2 linked regions of the Tamandua tetradactyla genome follow. The protein of the gene in region 2 purifies or fractionates together with the protein of the main gene of each other region. This does not show direct contact. Links are inferred from orthologs where the notes say so. Each region holds a gene or a part of one and is shown on either strand. Other genes may lie near its edges.

Evidence for each region.
Region 1: the proteins of PTCH1 (region 2) and GRK2 purify together in Homo sapiens (affinity purification with western blotting; 3 studies listed by BioGRID and IntAct, with this or other methods). This does not show direct contact. The link is inferred for Tamandua tetradactyla from reciprocal best matches to the Homo sapiens genes PTCH1 and GRK2.

Annotation. Positions count from the first base shown.
Region 1 is NC_135335.1:7,144,729-7,152,740, reverse strand, and holds the start of GRK2 (beta-adrenergic receptor kinase 1), read left to right. Parts: upstream 1-4,806; 5' UTR 4,807-4,838; coding exon 4,839-4,951; intron 4,952-5,584; exon of another isoform or gene 5,585-5,964; intron 5,965-8,012. UniProt on the Homo sapiens protein: Specifically phosphorylates the agonist-occupied form of the beta-adrenergic and closely related receptors, probably inducing a desensitization of them. Key regulator of LPAR1 signaling.
Region 2 is NC_135328.1:122,452,271-122,460,342, forward strand, and holds the start of PTCH1 (protein patched homolog 1), read right to left. Parts: upstream 3,251-8,072; coding exon 3,044-3,250; intron 2,237-3,043; exon of another isoform or gene 2,086-2,236; intron 1,379-2,085; coding exon 1,186-1,378; intron 658-1,185; exon of another isoform or gene 535-657; intron 1-534.

The sequences.
Region 1 (8,012 bases), on a different chromosome or scaffold from region 2:
GGAATGCATGAGAGGTGGCTGTCGCTGTCAGGCAGGAGTTTCTCCAGATCTGCCCAGTGTACCCCTGGTGAGGCCAGAGAAGACTCTGCCATCTTCAAAGCTGGGTACCAAGACAGATGGTGAGGCCAGGCCCGGGCAGGAGAGAACCGCACATGCCCTCTCCACCCTGTGCCCATTCACGGGCACATGCAGACACTGTCACATGCAAGACCTTCCCTTGGCCCTGAATGGCCAGCGGGCGGCCTTCTCCTGGGTGCCTCCACCTTGCATTAAAGCTCTTGCCAGATTAATTGGAGGTACAGCCAATTCGCATTATTGCTGTAATTATTCTCATTATTCACAGTAGTTGCAATGAATACCGAACCCTTGCCCCTAAGAGAAGTACAAGTTCCTGCAAGCTCTGGTCACCTTTTTGTCAGTCAATACATAACCTTGTTTTAGGCTTTTCTGGTTTTTGTTGTTGTTTTTTACTTCTTTATTGTATAATTTTTTATTGTACAATTATTTTTATTGTATAACATATATATATTGTATGATATAACATATATGCAAAGCAAAGCAAGAAAAAACCAATGGTTTTCAAAGCACTCTTCAGCGAGTAGTTAGAGGACAGATCCCAGAGTTTGTCATGGGCTACCATATGATCCTCTCAGATTTTTCCTTCTAGCTGCTCCAGAATATAGGAGGCTAGAAGGAATAAATATTTTCTGAATCATCACAATTAACTTTTTTTCTTTTTTTGTGTGAAAAATAACATATATACAAAAAAGCAATAAATTTCCAAGCACAGCATGACAATTAGCCGCAGAACAGATTTCAGAGTTTGGTGTGGGTTACAATTCCACAATTAGGTGTGTTTTTGTTTAAAGACATCTAATTCAATATATATTATTGATTCATAACACTGTACTTGCAACCAACAGCACTCTACCTTACACCTCGACAAAGTTTCTCTTACACACGTGCCTTCTCTGTAAGGTACATCGGAGTCTTCGTGTATTTAGGAACACTAGACAGCACTTCAGCGCTACGCTGGGGGGGCCATTTTAAACAGCAAAATCACCAACAAAAGAGCAACCCCCCAAAATGCGCAAAAAACATGGCACTAAATATATCATGAAAAACACACTTGTTTAGCAGCATGAGAACTGAAATGACAAGTCCAAGAGTCAAGGTGTTCAACCTCAGCTGGAAATTTTCGTCTGCTCTGGACGTGTCTGTGAATGACCGCCAAAGCGCTGCCAATATCAATTCGGGGGAACAGAGTCATTTTCGCCAGTTGGTGAATTTGCAACTACAGAATCCGTGAATAATGGATAAGACTGTATATGATTAGGGGCCTTCTTTCCCATCAGACTGGGCCAACGCTGAGTCCGATTTCCCCCTGCAGCCCTCGCGTTGTGCCAGGAGCCATGCTGGGTATGAGGGACACAGCCGTGACGGCAGGGACGCCAAGGAAACCTTTCAGCCAATGAGACAGCAGAGTGAGCAGGAGCCCACCTCGCCAGAAAGTGAGAGGTGATGGGGACTTGGACTGGGCTTTAGCAGGGCGCTGTCAAAGGATTCAGGGTACATTTTGGAGACAGTCACAGCAGGTAGCTGACAGGTCAGTCTGGACTACAGCGTATGCGTGTGGGGGTGGGGTGGGGAAGGGGACAGAAATATACTGAGGACGACTCCTGGGTTTTTGGAAGATGAAAGAGCCATGACTGAGATGGGGGTGCGGGAGAGAAGCAGGGTGGGCAGGGGGTTGGTTGGCGGTGGCGAGAGCTCAGTGTGGGATGTTTCACTTGCAGCACCTGTTAGTCACCCAGGGTGGGTGCCAAGTAATAAAGCGTCTATGCGTCTGCCACCCAGGCAGAGATGGAGGGTGGTCCATGGCTCTTGGCACTGCCAGCCTCCCAGCCACAGCCTGGCCCCGTCTGGGAACCGGATGAGGGTTTGTTGCAAGAAGGAATGCCTGGAGTCTGACACCCAGGCAAGTCTACCTGCCGACCTACCCAGAACCACCAGAGGGCAGCACTGCCCCCCAAACCAGGCTCCGGTCCCCACCTCTACCCGGGCCGGGCAGTCACACCAACTTCTCCCACTTTTCTGGGTCCCGGGAATCAATGAGGCTAGGGGTATGGGCTGGGCCAAGGGCGGGAGGGGTTGTCAGGGTTTTATGAGGTGGCGGGGGGTGGGGAGAGGGCAGGACCAGCTCCCGGGGCAGGATGGCTGGCAAACTCAGAACCCACAGGCAGAACCTGTTCTGACAAGTTTATCAAGCAGAATCTCTCAAATAGGGGCTGCCCAGAAAACCCAAGGAGTCAGGGGGTGGGGGAGAGTTAGGGGCCCCCTGCTGTGCACCTTGGCCCGGGTGCTGCCTCCGTCTCCATGTGTCACCTCGGGCTAGGGAGTTCACGCACTTGGTCACTCATTCTTTCATCCAATATTGACTGATGGCCTTTCTGTTATGGGTGCCAAACTAGGCCTAGGGGGGAAGAGATGAACCCCGAGCGTTGATTACAGTGAGATTTACCTTTATATTTTCATGCTTGAGCATTTCCTATGTCAGGATGTGTTCTCCAGTGATGCGAACGTTCCATAAAGCCCCACCCCTCACTGTCAGTGGTGCACCTTACAACTGATGATGTTTTCAAATCAAGGAAATAGGGTGGTGAGTGCAGAATCAGGGATGGACACAGTTGGGGTTAGGGCATCATGGAAGGCTGCGTGGAGGAGGTGGGTCTTGAAGGACAAGCAGGAGTTATAACGTCAGGAAAGAAGGCACAAAGAAGGGCTTCCAGGCATAGGGCGTGCAGGTGAAAACTGATTAGCAGTCTGCTTGGGGTAACCTTAGGTGCAGAGGATGGTGGCAAAACGAGCAGTAGTGGGACATGAGGGCAGGGCCCAGCCATCCAAGACTCAACTCAACCTGATCTGCTTTTGGGCTTAAGTGGGTCCCCCACTCCCAGCAGCTCCCAAAGTCCTAGAGAGCTGCATCTTCATGCTTAATAAGTGGTGACCCAGGAGCTCTAGATTTGGGACTGGCAATTGTGGTTAGGCCCTGCATCAGGGCAGCAACCCCCAAGGAGTGGACTGGTGGTCCGAGAGGATTTTCAGGAGGCCAGCCCAGGATGGCGTGGTGATAAATTAGAGTAGGGAAAGGTGAGAGAAGAGGGAGGGGTTGGGATGATACCTGCAGTTCTGACTTGGGTGTGTATCTGCAGGGACGGCGGTGCCACCCAGTGAGAAGGGGAGCTCACCTCCCTGACACACTCAGTTCTAGGCTCTGCCAGGACTGGTCTGCGCTCCCTAGCCAGAGGGGCTTACTCCTTCTCCAAGAAGCCCATGAGGGTGGGATCCTTGCTTTGCAAGTGCATCCTTCCTGGTGGCTGGCCCACCAACTGCCATGGGGATCGAACCTGCTGCCAAAGGAAGTGGGGAGGAGATCCAGAGTGGGGTATGTTGAGATTCTGTGTGTGTGTGTGTGTGTGCGCATTGCCTAGAGACACACAGATTTAAGCCACCTGCTTGGGTGGGCTCTCAGCAGGGTGGGCTTCCTCTGCCAGGTAGTACTGAGACCCCTGTGCCCTCCCAGGCTGGGGGGGGGAGATCTGATCCCACGTTGTGGAATCATCGCGAATGGGATGGGATGCAGGGAGGGAAGCTGACCCAAGTGTGCAGGTCAGGGGCCTGGGTCTGGGGTGGGCTGGGGCTGGTTTGTGTGCAGGGTCCGTGGTCCTGAGTGGGAGTCCTGCAGCCAGGTCTGGAGAAAGAGGGGTGGGGAGTGGAGTCTGGGGCAGTTGTCAGGTCCAGGTGCTGGGACCTGGTGACCCTATAAGGGTTCTTCATCCAGTCTTGGTCCAGGGTGGGGTGCCCTGGCCTTGGGCTATATGTCCAGCATCCTGGGTGGCAGGTCCAGGACTCAAGTCCAGGTCTGGGCCCTGACCCCGAGTGTGGGGATCAGGGTCAAGGGAGCGCTCTGGGTCTGGGGATGTGACCAGCGTCTGAAGTCAAGGTCCAAAGTCTGGATCTGGGGTCCTGTTGGCGCGCTGGGGTCACGATTGTGTCCAGATCTGGGGTCCGTGTCGTGGTCCTGGTGTGGAGTCAGGGTCCCGGGTTGTGATCTGGGTCAAGGTCTCATGATCAAGCTCTGGATCTGGGGTCCTGTTGGCGTTCTGGGGTCAGATCGTGGACGGGGATCGGAAGTGGGAGTCTGGGGTCTTGATCGGAACAGCTCTGGCCTCAGGACTGAGGTTTGACCGTGGAGTCCCGGGGTCCGGCGTTGGGATCCGAGTTGAATTTAGGGTCCTCTTCGGATCCCGAACCTCTTCGGTTCCAGGTCGGGGCTCGAGGGTGGAGATCCGCGGGCAACCGGCGGGCGGCCGCTGGGATCCGGGATCGTGCCCCCAAGTCTGGGTCGGGGTCCCGGCTCCGCGGGCAGGGCCGGGCGGCCCGCGCGGCCTCCAGGGGGCGTCCCCGGCCGCCCGCGCCGCCCGCCCGCCCGGCTCGGCCCCTCGCGGGCTCGCTGGCGCTGCGCGCGGCAGGCGGGGCCGGAGGCGGCGGCGGCGGCGGCGGCGGCTCCGGGGCGCGGGCGGGCGGCGGCGCCCGGACTGCAGTCCCGGCGGGAGCGGACGGGAGCCGGGCCCGGGCCCGAGCTGGCGCCATGGGGCGGCGCCGCCTGTGAGCGGCGGCCGAGCGGAGCCGCGGGCGGCGGGCGGCGGGCGGGGCCGGGCGGGCGGGCGGGCGGCGGCGGCGCCCGAGGCCGAGCGGAGCGGCGGCCGGGCCGGGCCGAGCGCGCCGAGCGAGCGGGAGCGGGAGCGGCGGGAGGAGCAGCCGCCGCCGCCGCCAAGATGGCGGACCTGGAGGCGGTGCTGGCCGACGTGAGCTACCTGATGGCCATGGAGAAGAGCAAGGCCACGCCGGCCGCGCGCGCCAGCAAGAAGATCCTGCTGCCCGAGCCCAGGTGAGCCCGCCGGGCCCCGGCCCCGCAGCCCCGGCCCCCCCCAGCGCCGACCCCCCTGACCCCCCGCGGCCCCAGCGCCCCGGCTCCGGGCCCAGCACCTCACACGCGCCCCGGGTCGACCCCCAGGTCCCCGGAGCCCGGGACCCCAGGCCCTGTGCGCCTGAGCCCCGAGCGCCTCAACTCCAGGGCCCACCCCCCCCCCCCACTGCCCCACTCTGCCGGTCCCTCGGTCTGTCAGCCCTTCGCTCCTGCCCTCTGCCCCCACCCACCCCCAGAGCCCCATCACTCTCCCCCTTGTCCTCCTCGGAGCATCCCATGGTCCCCGTGGGGTCCCCTCCCCTCTGCGGGCCACCATTTACCTGGCCTGTTGATAGCCCCCATCCTTTGGCTGTCCCTACTCCCAGCTCCCTTCCACGCCTTGCAGGGGAGCTGGGTGCTCTCCCCCCCACCCCCCCACACCCCAGTCTCTACTTGAGTGAAGTTGGAGGGAGACAGCCAGCCTCAGGGCAGCTTCTCAGGACCCTTCCTTGCTCCTGCTGCGGGATCACTGTCTTGGGGCTGGGTTTGGTGTGGTGGGCTGGGGGCACCGTGGGGCACGCGCCCTGCCCAGGTGGGTCGTTTACCAGGGGCCAGCCCCGCACCTCTGCCGCACCTGGGCCACAGATGCCACCCCTCTGTGAGACAGCTCGTGTCATCGTGCCTGGTATCAAAGTTTAAGGCTGTTCAGGATGTAGGCGCCGAAGCGTACAGGATGCAGAGGGTAGCTGTGGCTGCCCCGGTGCTTGGTGGCTTACGGACCATTTCCCCGTTGCTGGAGCCCCACAGCAGTCCCCCGGGGTGGGTAGGACACCTGTCCGGTGCCACACACGTTACCCAGTGTGCAATCGGGGTCCCCCCATCAGGGCCCCTGGCGTCTTGTTATAGGTTCTGCCACCAGGCTGGCCTCAGCCAGGGCCTGGATGTTCTGCTCCTGCAAGAGCTGTGTGCCCCCCAACCAGTCCTCGTGTCACGGGGTGAGGCCGGTCCCCTCTATATATCTCCCTCTGTGCAGAGGTGGCCTCTGTGGCCCCAGCCGGACTCTGGGCCCACCCCTGGCTGCCCCGGCCTCATCGTGTGATTTTAGGGAAGTCCCTTCCTGACTTTGGGCTTCAGTTTTCTCATCTGCAAAATGTGGAAGGTGTGAAGTGAAGGCTGTGGCTCTGCAGTGTCCTGAGGCTTCGAGGCACCTAGCTCAGCCTCTGCTAGTGTACCTCCCCAGGGGGGGTTTCAGATTGACTGAATACCAAGCCTGGGAGAGGAAAATTTGTCTGCATTTTGGGCCACCCACCCCCCCTTTTTTTTTTTTTGCTAAGACGTTTGCAATCAGATTTCTCAAAACAGGAACCAGAACTGACTGTCAGCTAGGGCCTGTCCAGGGAGAAGAGACAGTTAGAACAAAAATGAGTTCAGAAATGACGAAGCCATGAGGGAGGAAGTGGGGGGCTCAGGGTGTGCTCAGCCTCTAGGGCTCACATCGTCTCTTCTTGGTGGTAGTAGCCTGAGACCCTCCTGCAGGTTGGAGTTCTGAGAAGTATGGGGTGGGGCCTTTTCTGGAACTCTCTGCGTTTGGGTAATCTCTCCCCAGAGTGCACTGCTCCTGGCGGGGCCCCGCCTTGGGTCGGCGGTGCAGGTGTTAGAACCCTGAGAAACGAGACGTTCCTCTTTTCCTGTCTCCTTTGTCGCCCGTGGTAGTGATGGTGCTGATAGGAATGATGGTGGAACTTATCCTAGCTTATTATTTATTTTGACACCTGTCATCTCAGTTGATCCAAAAAGCAAAGCTGTGAAGTTGGCCAGACCATGCCAGGCATGGAGTAGTTGCTCAAGAAACATCAGAAGACCACGCTATCTCCTCCTGAGTGGGAATAAGGTGGGCTGTGTTAGGGCACAGGCAGGAGTCTGAGAGCAAGGTGGCATGGCCCGAGTATAGGGTCACCGTCTGGCAGCATGGTTTGGGCAAACCACCTGTATCTGTGACTGGGGCTCCAGGCTCCAGTGCTGAATGCCAGCGTCCTAAAGCCCAGGGAAGGGCTCTGCCTTGCACTGGTATACCTGGCAGCACAACGGGTGGTATTTTCCCCCCACTGAAAACTTGGAGAAACTGAGGCTTAAAGAGGGGAGGCTCAGAGCTTTGAACTCCCAGGCCAGTGCTCTTTCCCTGCTATGCCTCATCCTCTCTGCCCACCTCCAGCTGCCTCTGCGCACAGTTTAGTGGAATGTGCTGGCTGGCACCCATTGTCCGGACAGCCATGGGTCTGGGTCACTGGCCTGGAAGCAGCGGGACAGTTCCCAGTGCCGTCAGCTGTCACAGCTCACAGGCCCCAGCCCCCTCTCTATCGGCTGGGGCTGCAAACAGAGCTGCCCTGGGAAAGCTAGTGCTTGGAGGAGGTAGCTCGAGCCCAGAACTCCCATCCGACCCAGGGGCCTGTCTAACCCCACGCTCACAAGGTCAGAGTCAGGGGAGAGACCACGGTTTGTCCCAATGACAAGCTGCCATTTGGCACCACCTCGGGGTGGCTCATCCTGGCACCCTCCTTGTGGCTGGTCCCTGACTCTCTGACTGCTGAGGGCCAGGGGACAGGAGCTGTTGGGCACGGTGCCACTTTGAGTTGGCATGGAGACCTCCTCTTCTATCACCCTTTAGAACTCAAGGATTCAGACCCATTTCTCGTTGTGTCGCTGGAAGACAGGGGTCCTGGCTTCTAAACCACCTTCAATGCCAGTTCACAAGGGGCTCGGGGAAGCTCGCTTATCCTCTCTGGGCCTCCCTTGGTTTCTACCTTTGTGAAATGGGGGGCTGCCTGTGCACAGTGATACCCCTTTCAGCCCCAGGGTCCCTAGTTCTGGGCCTCCCTGTGCGCCATCTGCTCTCTCCCCAGCGGCCGATGGGAGCGGACCTATAATTACCATCTTTCACTTAATGTGACCACTGAGGCCTCCCGTAATTACTCTCTTGGCTCCTGGCTGAGGAGCCCTGCCTGGGGCAGTCCCAGGAGATGCCCCGTCCCCTCCCCTGTGACAG
Region 2 (8,072 bases):
TTCAGAGCGTTTGGGTTGGAGTATCTACAGAATTACTTCAATCCATCCTCCCCACCCTCCAGTAATTGATGAGAGGATTAAGACAATATTTAGGGGCTGAAGAATTCCAAAATTCGTTAGGGGCTGAAGAATTCCAAAATTCGTTATTTTCCAAAAAGGTAATTAAGAATCAACAGGAAGAAGAAAAAAAACCAAACACCAAACAAAAAATACTGTATCACCAAAAGAATATAAACTGTTTCTGTCTTAAGAAAACCAAAAATCTATTTTAAATTAACAGTTGCTTTTCAAAAAGGCCCCAAGAATCCCCAAATTGAGGAACGTGGAGAGTCTGCGGCCCCTCCCTCCAAACAGGCGTTCTTAAAACACATTTCTTCTTTCTGCCTGCAAAATGCAGCTTCCCCCCAGAATAATACCTTCTAAAAAGCCCCCACCCGCGAGGAAACATTAATCTACTTTGCAAACATGCGTTCCAGTCTGCTTTACTATTTTTTTCAACTCCTCCCCCCCAACACACCCTTTTTTTTTTTGTACCTTGAGACAAATGTTTTTTTCCCCCAGAGTTGAAAGCCGTCCAAAAACAGGACCACACACGCAGCCGCCTCCGCAGGCCGGCGCTCCGCCCGCCCCTCCGCCCTCCCCAAGCGCAGCGGCCGCGGCCGCCGGAGGCGCGCGCACTCCTTCCAGCCGGAGGGGTGGCTTTTTTCTTCCACCCCATTCCTTTCTGTTTGGACGAGGTGGGTGGGGGCGGGGGAGGGAATGAAGCTGAGGAGGAGACCCAAGACGCAAGAGCCCTTCACCCTAGCCGCGTCTTGGGGCGCTGCACCAGCCGAACCCTGGCGGGCCCAGGCCCGGGGGACCCCCGGCCGTGCGGAGTGGTCCGTCCCGCAGAGGGGCCCTGCGCCCCCGCCAGCCCGCCCTCGCCACTCTCTCCCACAACACCTAGCAGAGCGCAGCGCCCCGAGTAGATTACAGCGCGGCCTTTGTCGGGCGGGCCTGGCTCCTAGCCAGGCGCCCAAACAATAAACAATTCCCCCTGGTGTGGGCAAGGGTTTTTCTCTCTTTACTGAAAGGCTCTAGGTGTATTCTGGTAAATATCTTTATCAACTGAAAGGCAGGGAAGGGGGACTGGGGACTGGGGACTGGGGGAAAGAAGGGCGCAGCAGCCAGCGCTGAGTATCTTACCTTCCACCCACAGCTCCTCCACGTTGGTCTCGAGATTAGCTGCCTTTAATCCTACAGCGAAGGCCCCAAATATGAGGAGGCCCACAACCAAAAACTTGCCGCAGTTTTTTTGAATGTAACAACCCAGTTTAAATAAGAGTCTCTGAAACTTCGCTCTCAGCCACAGCGGCGCTTTCCGGCCAGTAGCCTTCCCCTAGGGACGAAGCAGAAGTGAGGAGTGAGTGCTGGAGAGTCCCCGCGCGCGCACCCACGCCCGGTCGCACACACCCGCCCGAGGATCCCCCGACGGCCCTGGCCTCGGGCGGCTGCGACGCAGCGACTCGCCCTCGGGGCTGGAACCCAGTCCGGCCCGAGGTAACGCGAGCGGCGTGGCGGGGGTGGGTGGGAGGGGGGCTGGTCATAAATTATAAATCCGGCTGCAGCGTGGGAGCTGCATCTCGGCGACAGGAGGGGCACCCCCACGCACGTCCGGCGCAGCATCCCTAAGCGTGACTTGGGGGCCTAGGATGGACAGGACACCCGGAGGAGGAAGCCGAGGAAGAGAGAAGCGAAATCGCTTAACACTGGCAATATTTACCCTGGGTTAGGGAAGAGGGATGGGGGTACATAATCCCTGCGGGTGGAGCCCAGTTTTTAAGAACAAGCCAACCCAGTTCCCCTTCCCAGTAGATCCTGCTCCAGCCATCACCAGCTCGGGGTGCCCCGGCAGGGACCGGGGGCAGGGGGGTGAGCGCGCTTTGTTAACAATGTATTGCGGGTTCCCGCATCTAAACCCCCCGCCCGGCGTGGTAGCAAACGAGGATCCACGTGGTGAGCGCGGCGACCGGAGCTCACTCGCGATGCATTTCCATGCGGCTGTGTGAGCTGAATTAGGAAGTGGGGCAGCCATCTCCAACTTACGACAATATTTGTGATCGGAAGAGGGCAGCCACATGGATCTTTCCCTCCTCTCCCTTCCCTTCTGGTTAAACGTAAAAAACCACCCGAGTGCCCTGGGGAAGGGCCCAGGCCGATGCAGGCGGGGGTCCTGGCGGGGCGCTGGTTCCTCCCGGCGGCGGCGTTTCCCCCGCGCTGGCCGCGACCCCGGGCCCGGCGGGCCCCCGTCTGGGTGCTTGCCTTCCCCGGATTCCACACATTTCAACGAGCCTCGTAAACACAATGAACCCGGCCGCTCCATAGACCCGCACTGCGGATTTAAGGTGGCAATTTGTTTACAACGTTCCCTTTCTCCCCAGGCTTTGAGAATAGGCGGCTCAAAAACCGTCAAAGAAGAGGGGGGATGCCCTCTCCCGAAGATAATTTTTAAGGGAGCAGAGATTCATGCTCGACAAAAGCAAAACCGGCTGCCAAAAAAGGAAACCACCTTTATTTCAGCTCCCTCCCCCCCTTCCTCTCTCCGCCTCCCTCCACTCCGCCTCCCCCTTCAAGATGTTAAGAAATGTGGCTTTACAGGGGTTTAGGCTGCAAATAGTGGCAGGGGTGCAGCAGGAGGGGGGCAGGGGCAGGGGCACGGGGGCAGGGCAGTTCCGCGGCTGCCCTCGAGGTGGTCGACTGTGGATCGCTTTCCAGTTTTCCAGAAAGGAACGCCGGGGAGGGCGCGTGTACACGCGCGCGCGCGCGCACACACACACACACACACACACACACACACCTCCACCCCCTGTGGCCCTCAGACAGCCCTTTCCTCCCAAGACCGGAGGGAGGGTTTGAATTTTTCAATCCCCACTTGTCTACTTCTTTTGCTGGAGGGGTGTGTGTGTGTGTGTGCGTGCGTGCGTGCGTGTGTGTGTGGCGGGGGCGTCCCAAAGAGGAAGAGGAGGGAAAAGAGAGTGGGAGGAGAAGAGAGTCTGAAATGCACCTTGGAAATCTGCTCCAGAGCGAAGGCGGCGTCGCAGTAGCTGGGCCGGTGCAGATAGTCCCGGTCCGGCGCGGCGGTGCGGCGCAGCCCCCCGGTCCGTCTGCGCCTCCCGCCGCCGCCGCCGCCACCGCCGGCCGGTCGGTCGGGAGTACCACTGCATCCGCCGCCGCGGTCCTGGGGCTCCGCGGCGTTACCAGCCGAGGCCATGTTGCCGCCGCCGCCGCCGCCGCCGCGGGGACCGAGGCTTCCCGGGCTGCCCGGCGCGCTGCTGCTGCCGCCGCTGCGAGCTCCCAGCGCGCCCAGGCGCTCGGCTCGCGAGGACGCTGCTGGCCCCCGGCTGCTCGCGCTCGGGCTGACAGACCTGCTTCTCCGGCTCACACGGCGGGCGCTGCTGTCGCTGCGGCCGCGGCCGCTGCCGGGGAGTCAGCCCCTGCGCCTTCCATTGCCACATTGCGCGGGGGTCCCGAGGTCTCTGCGGCCGCCGCTGCCCACATCCAGTTCGCGGGAGGGCGAGAGCTGGCGCGCGGGGCGAACCTGTCCCTCCGGCGCTCCGCGGTGGCTCCTTGCGGCCCCCAACCCGCCCCTCGACCCAGCACCTCGACCCCTTCACTGCAGAAAGCACGAGCAAAACCCCGCCGCTCCCGCCGGCGGGGCTGACTCCCTCGGCGTCTCCCGGGTCGCCCCAGCTGCTGGGGAGGACAAGCGCAGGATTGCCGCGGCCGCCGCGGGGTCCGGGGCTGCCCGGCGGCTCTCAGCGCTGCCGGGCGGGGGCAGCCGCCGCCACCGTCGCTGCTGCTGCTCCCGCGGCTGCTGCTGCTCTCGAGGTTGCTGCTGCTGCTGTTGCTGCTGCCGGTGCTCCTGCTGCTGCTGCTGCTGCTGGCCGTGGCGGCTCCTGAAGCTGTTGCTCGGGCTTCTGGGGCTGCTCGGGCTCTGGCTGCTGGGTTCGCGGTGGCTGCTTGGTCCCGGACTCTGCTTTCTTGTGCTCCTCGCCGACTCGCTGGACCATTCTGCCCCCGTGCAGCGCGCCTCTCTCGCTCCCGGGACCTGAGGACTCCGCTCTGTGTGTGTGCAGCGGGCAGCGGCCGCAGCAGCTCCTTGATTCAATAGATGAGATGGAAGAAGAAAAAAAAGAACTCTCTCCATTTGGAGAAAGAGGAGGAGGAGGGGAGGGGGTGGAGGGGGAAAGAGCGAGCGAAAGAGAAAAAGGCTGGAGCTCCCGCCCCCGGGGCTGTCAGATGGCTTGGGTTTCTGCGACGCGATTGGCTCGCGGAGGGCAGAAATTACTCAGCAAACATGACTATTATTAGCTGCTTAGCAACAGCTCACCAAAGTAGAGAGACCACCCAGGTAGGCAACCCCAGTGTGTGCATCCCCGGCTTCAGGGGGAGCCTCCGAGAGCGCCAACCTTCTCGCATGCAATACTTCCATTAAGGAATGCACCCCCCTCCCTTCTTTCTTATTCCTTTTCTTTTCAACAGTGTCTTCTTTTTGTGAGTCGCCTTTTGCGCGCACACACTAGCGCGCGCGCGCACACACACACACACACACACTCGTATTTGCTTCGCGACAGACACGGGAAAAATGTAATATTTTTTTAAGCGCTTAAACAATTTCTGAAATTCCTCAAAGAAAACCCTTTCAGAGGCACCCTGGCCTCAAGCTGCAGCAGATACTGGGAGGTCCGGCTTGAATTCCCAGGCCTGCGCCGATAATGACAGGGTGGCGGATAGTGCACCAGTGTGTGCCAGATTTTTTTTCCCCCTTCTTCTCTTTTCTTTTATAACTAAAGGGAAGACTTAGACTCTCGCAGGGAAAAACGCCTCGCATTAAGATAAACAAAATGGGAAGTTAAAGAGGAAAATGAGGACATTGAGAAAAGCCCCCTTTCTTAAAATTGCCCGCCTCCCAAAGAGCCCGCTTCCCCACCCCAAACCCCCGGAAAACCCCACGACCACACAACCCTGGTTTGAAGGAGTCCGGAGTCCCTGTTGTATAAACGTTGAATCCAGACACCCGAAGCAGTCTTGTGAAGGCAGAGGCGCTTTTTATTTGAATCTTAAATGTAACATAAATAAAAGGAGAAACAACAGAATCCTTTCAAAAGCCCAGAGAAACGCAGTTGTTTTTCTGAGGACAGAAACCTTGCCCTGGTTATTTGCGGTTCATTCGGAGTCATCTCCCATCTTTTTTTTTTCGCCAGTCTCATGTCCTTATTTATTGAAAGTCAGTTTTAAACGGATTTTTACAAAAACCGTAGCCATCCTGTTATATTTAGTAGTAGCGCAACGTACCAGGGGAGAATAAAGGCTATGATGTTGGATTCTTCATTCGAAACAAATTGTGCGCTGATCGCGAGGACTTGTCCCAACCTTGCGGCCACTGTCACCAATATAGTCCGGGGATTCACTTCCCATTGGGGAAGAAAGCCCGGGACCCTTTGGGGGTGGATCCTGGGGCCAGAGACAAATCAAACTGTCTAAACAGCTCCGCTTTACATTAAAATAATTTTTTTCGAGCTGGTGGATTTTGTTTTTCTTACGTTCGCAAGTTATTCAATTCCTCCCTGTGGTAGGGGCCAGATCCCTGAATCATACCTCGTTTCAATCGTTTTTCTTTCTTTTTATCTCTAAACTGCAAAATTTAAGTTTGAACTGCAAAGAAATCCGCGGCAGCGAGGAGCCAACTGAGGCCGTGAAATGGAGCAGTATAGCTTTAAGATGCACACGGTGTGTGTTCATTGAAAAAAAAAGAAGAAAGAAAGGAAAGGAAAGGAAAGAAAGAAACCCAGATGGAGAGAAAGGGGGTGGAGCGGGGGAGGAGGCGGAGTCCGCGGGCCACGTGACCCGGGGCAGAGCCCGCGCGTTAGTCGCCGCCTCGGCGGCCGGGAGGCCTGTGCGCGCGCGTGTGTGTACGGGTGCGCGCGCGCGCTCGGGTTCTTGGACTCCCCGCGCCCGAGGTCCAAGCCAAGCAGGCAGGAAGAGTCGGTGCGCTGGGCCGGCTGCTCCAGCCGGGACTCCCTGGAGCCTGGGCGAGGCGCGCGCCCGCCTGCACCGATGGACGTGCGGAACACGCCGTAGTACATTCCTGAAGGCAGTCCGGCCCCCTTACGTCGCCCAAAGCTTGCCCAGCCCCCCCGCGGCTGGCCAATAGCTGCGCGCTCTGGTCCTTCCCATTCAGCGGCCCCGCATTGCCGGCCCCGGCCCGCGCAGGGCTGCAGCGGGGCGCGCGGGCCACCGGGGCGGCCCACGCGGCTCCCGCAGGGGGCCTGTCCGCCAGCCCACCCCGCCCCCTTCCTTCCTCCCTCTCCTTCAGCCTACGGTTCCCTCCTCCCTATTTGCTTTCCTTTCCTTTCCCTTCATCTTTTCCTTCTAACCCTTTTTCTTTCTCACCCATCTACCCTTCCCTCGTCAGCCTCGCCTCATTCCCTCTACCTTTTTCTCCTTCCCGGTTACCCTGGGTGTCCTGGAGAATAAAGAGAGACAAAGAGATTAGAAGTATCTGGGGGGTGTTCCGGGAGCAGGAGGAGGACTCGAGTACCGGAGCAGCGCGGAAATTCAAAACCCCTGACTCCAAGGAACACGTGATTTTGTGTGCCGGCTCTTGGAAAGGTCTGCTAAAACCCTGAAGGGAAAACAAGCACGGTGCAATTTAAATGACACGGCATTAATAAATAATATTGCAGGAAGGTCGGGCTCGACACGTAGTCAGTTTAACCTTTGAGCAAAATCCTAATCCTTATTACGTTTGATAAATAACATAAAGCAGGAAGGGCGATTTATTATTCTAATTTTTCTTCCTGAACGATTTCTGCAAACTTTTGAAGTCAGGCCACTTCGTGCTTGCTGTTGGAAATTGTTTTTTAAAGACTTGGGGGTAATAGCCGTAGCTTCACACCAGGTACCCCACGGATACGTTACTATGTTCATCTTTTCAAATTTCTTTACAATGTTTTAAACCAAAAGATCAGCTTTTCCTCCCAGCCTTTTATTTATAGGAATCTCAGTGCCCCTACTTGGATTATGGAATTCTAGCATGAAATTTTAGGCTATGTACAAATCGTAGCAACGTTTAAATCCGCGCAGGCAGCTTCAGGTACTCCTGTTCTGGCTACTGCTTTATGTGCACCATTTTAATGGCAAAGCTTTTCCCACTCGGACTCATTCCCCTCGGTTTGACTTAATTCCCAAACGTTTTGAACATTGATCCGCGAGGTTTTCAGCGCCCAGAGCCCTCTTGCCCGCTGTTTGATAGGTTAACTTTTCAGAATTGCAGACAATGGTCTCGGCCTGTAAATTCTACCCATTGGTTCCAGAACGCAATCCCGAGCATGGGCTCTAACAAGCGCTATCTTAATCTCTCCACCCCCCACCCGCCGCTTCCCCTGTGGTCTGCTTTTTTTCATACGCAGAGATGAATTACTTTGAGGATCTAATTGGCCTTGTTTCTGTAAGGTTTTAAGAAAGGGAAGAGGAGCTAGTGTAAAAAGCCTGCTCGACTTGGGTGGTCAGGGCTGAGGCCGCCCCCAATTTGCCTCATTGCTGATGCATGCGAGTGCGACATTCCCAGCGATAATGTTGTCCCTAATCAATCTGGCCTTATTTACATTTGTAAGCATTGTTGGCTTTAATATGCATGCCCTGAGCAGGGGACCGCAGCACCACACCGGGTTTGTTAACTTCAACTAACCACAAGGATCCCACAGACCTGATATGGTGCTGATTGGAGGAGCCAGGCCTGCCTAAGGTGTCTGCTGGGAAGAGGGTCCCTTTAATGGCCTTTCTGTGGCTTAGCTCCCCTCCTGAGAGCTTGGGGCCTTATCAACCAGCAGGAGTTGCCTGCCTCCTTGAAGAAAGAGCTGATTTTTCCCATTTCTTCTTTCCTAATAAAGTTCATCTCGGGGCATAAATTGTCATTTTCCCCCCTCCCCATCATGATCCAAGTCTTTCCTGGAGCCTGTAGCTTTAAAAATAGATTCCTTCAACCCTCTGGATTCCTTCATATTTCCTCCCTTTTTCTGTTTCAATACTTC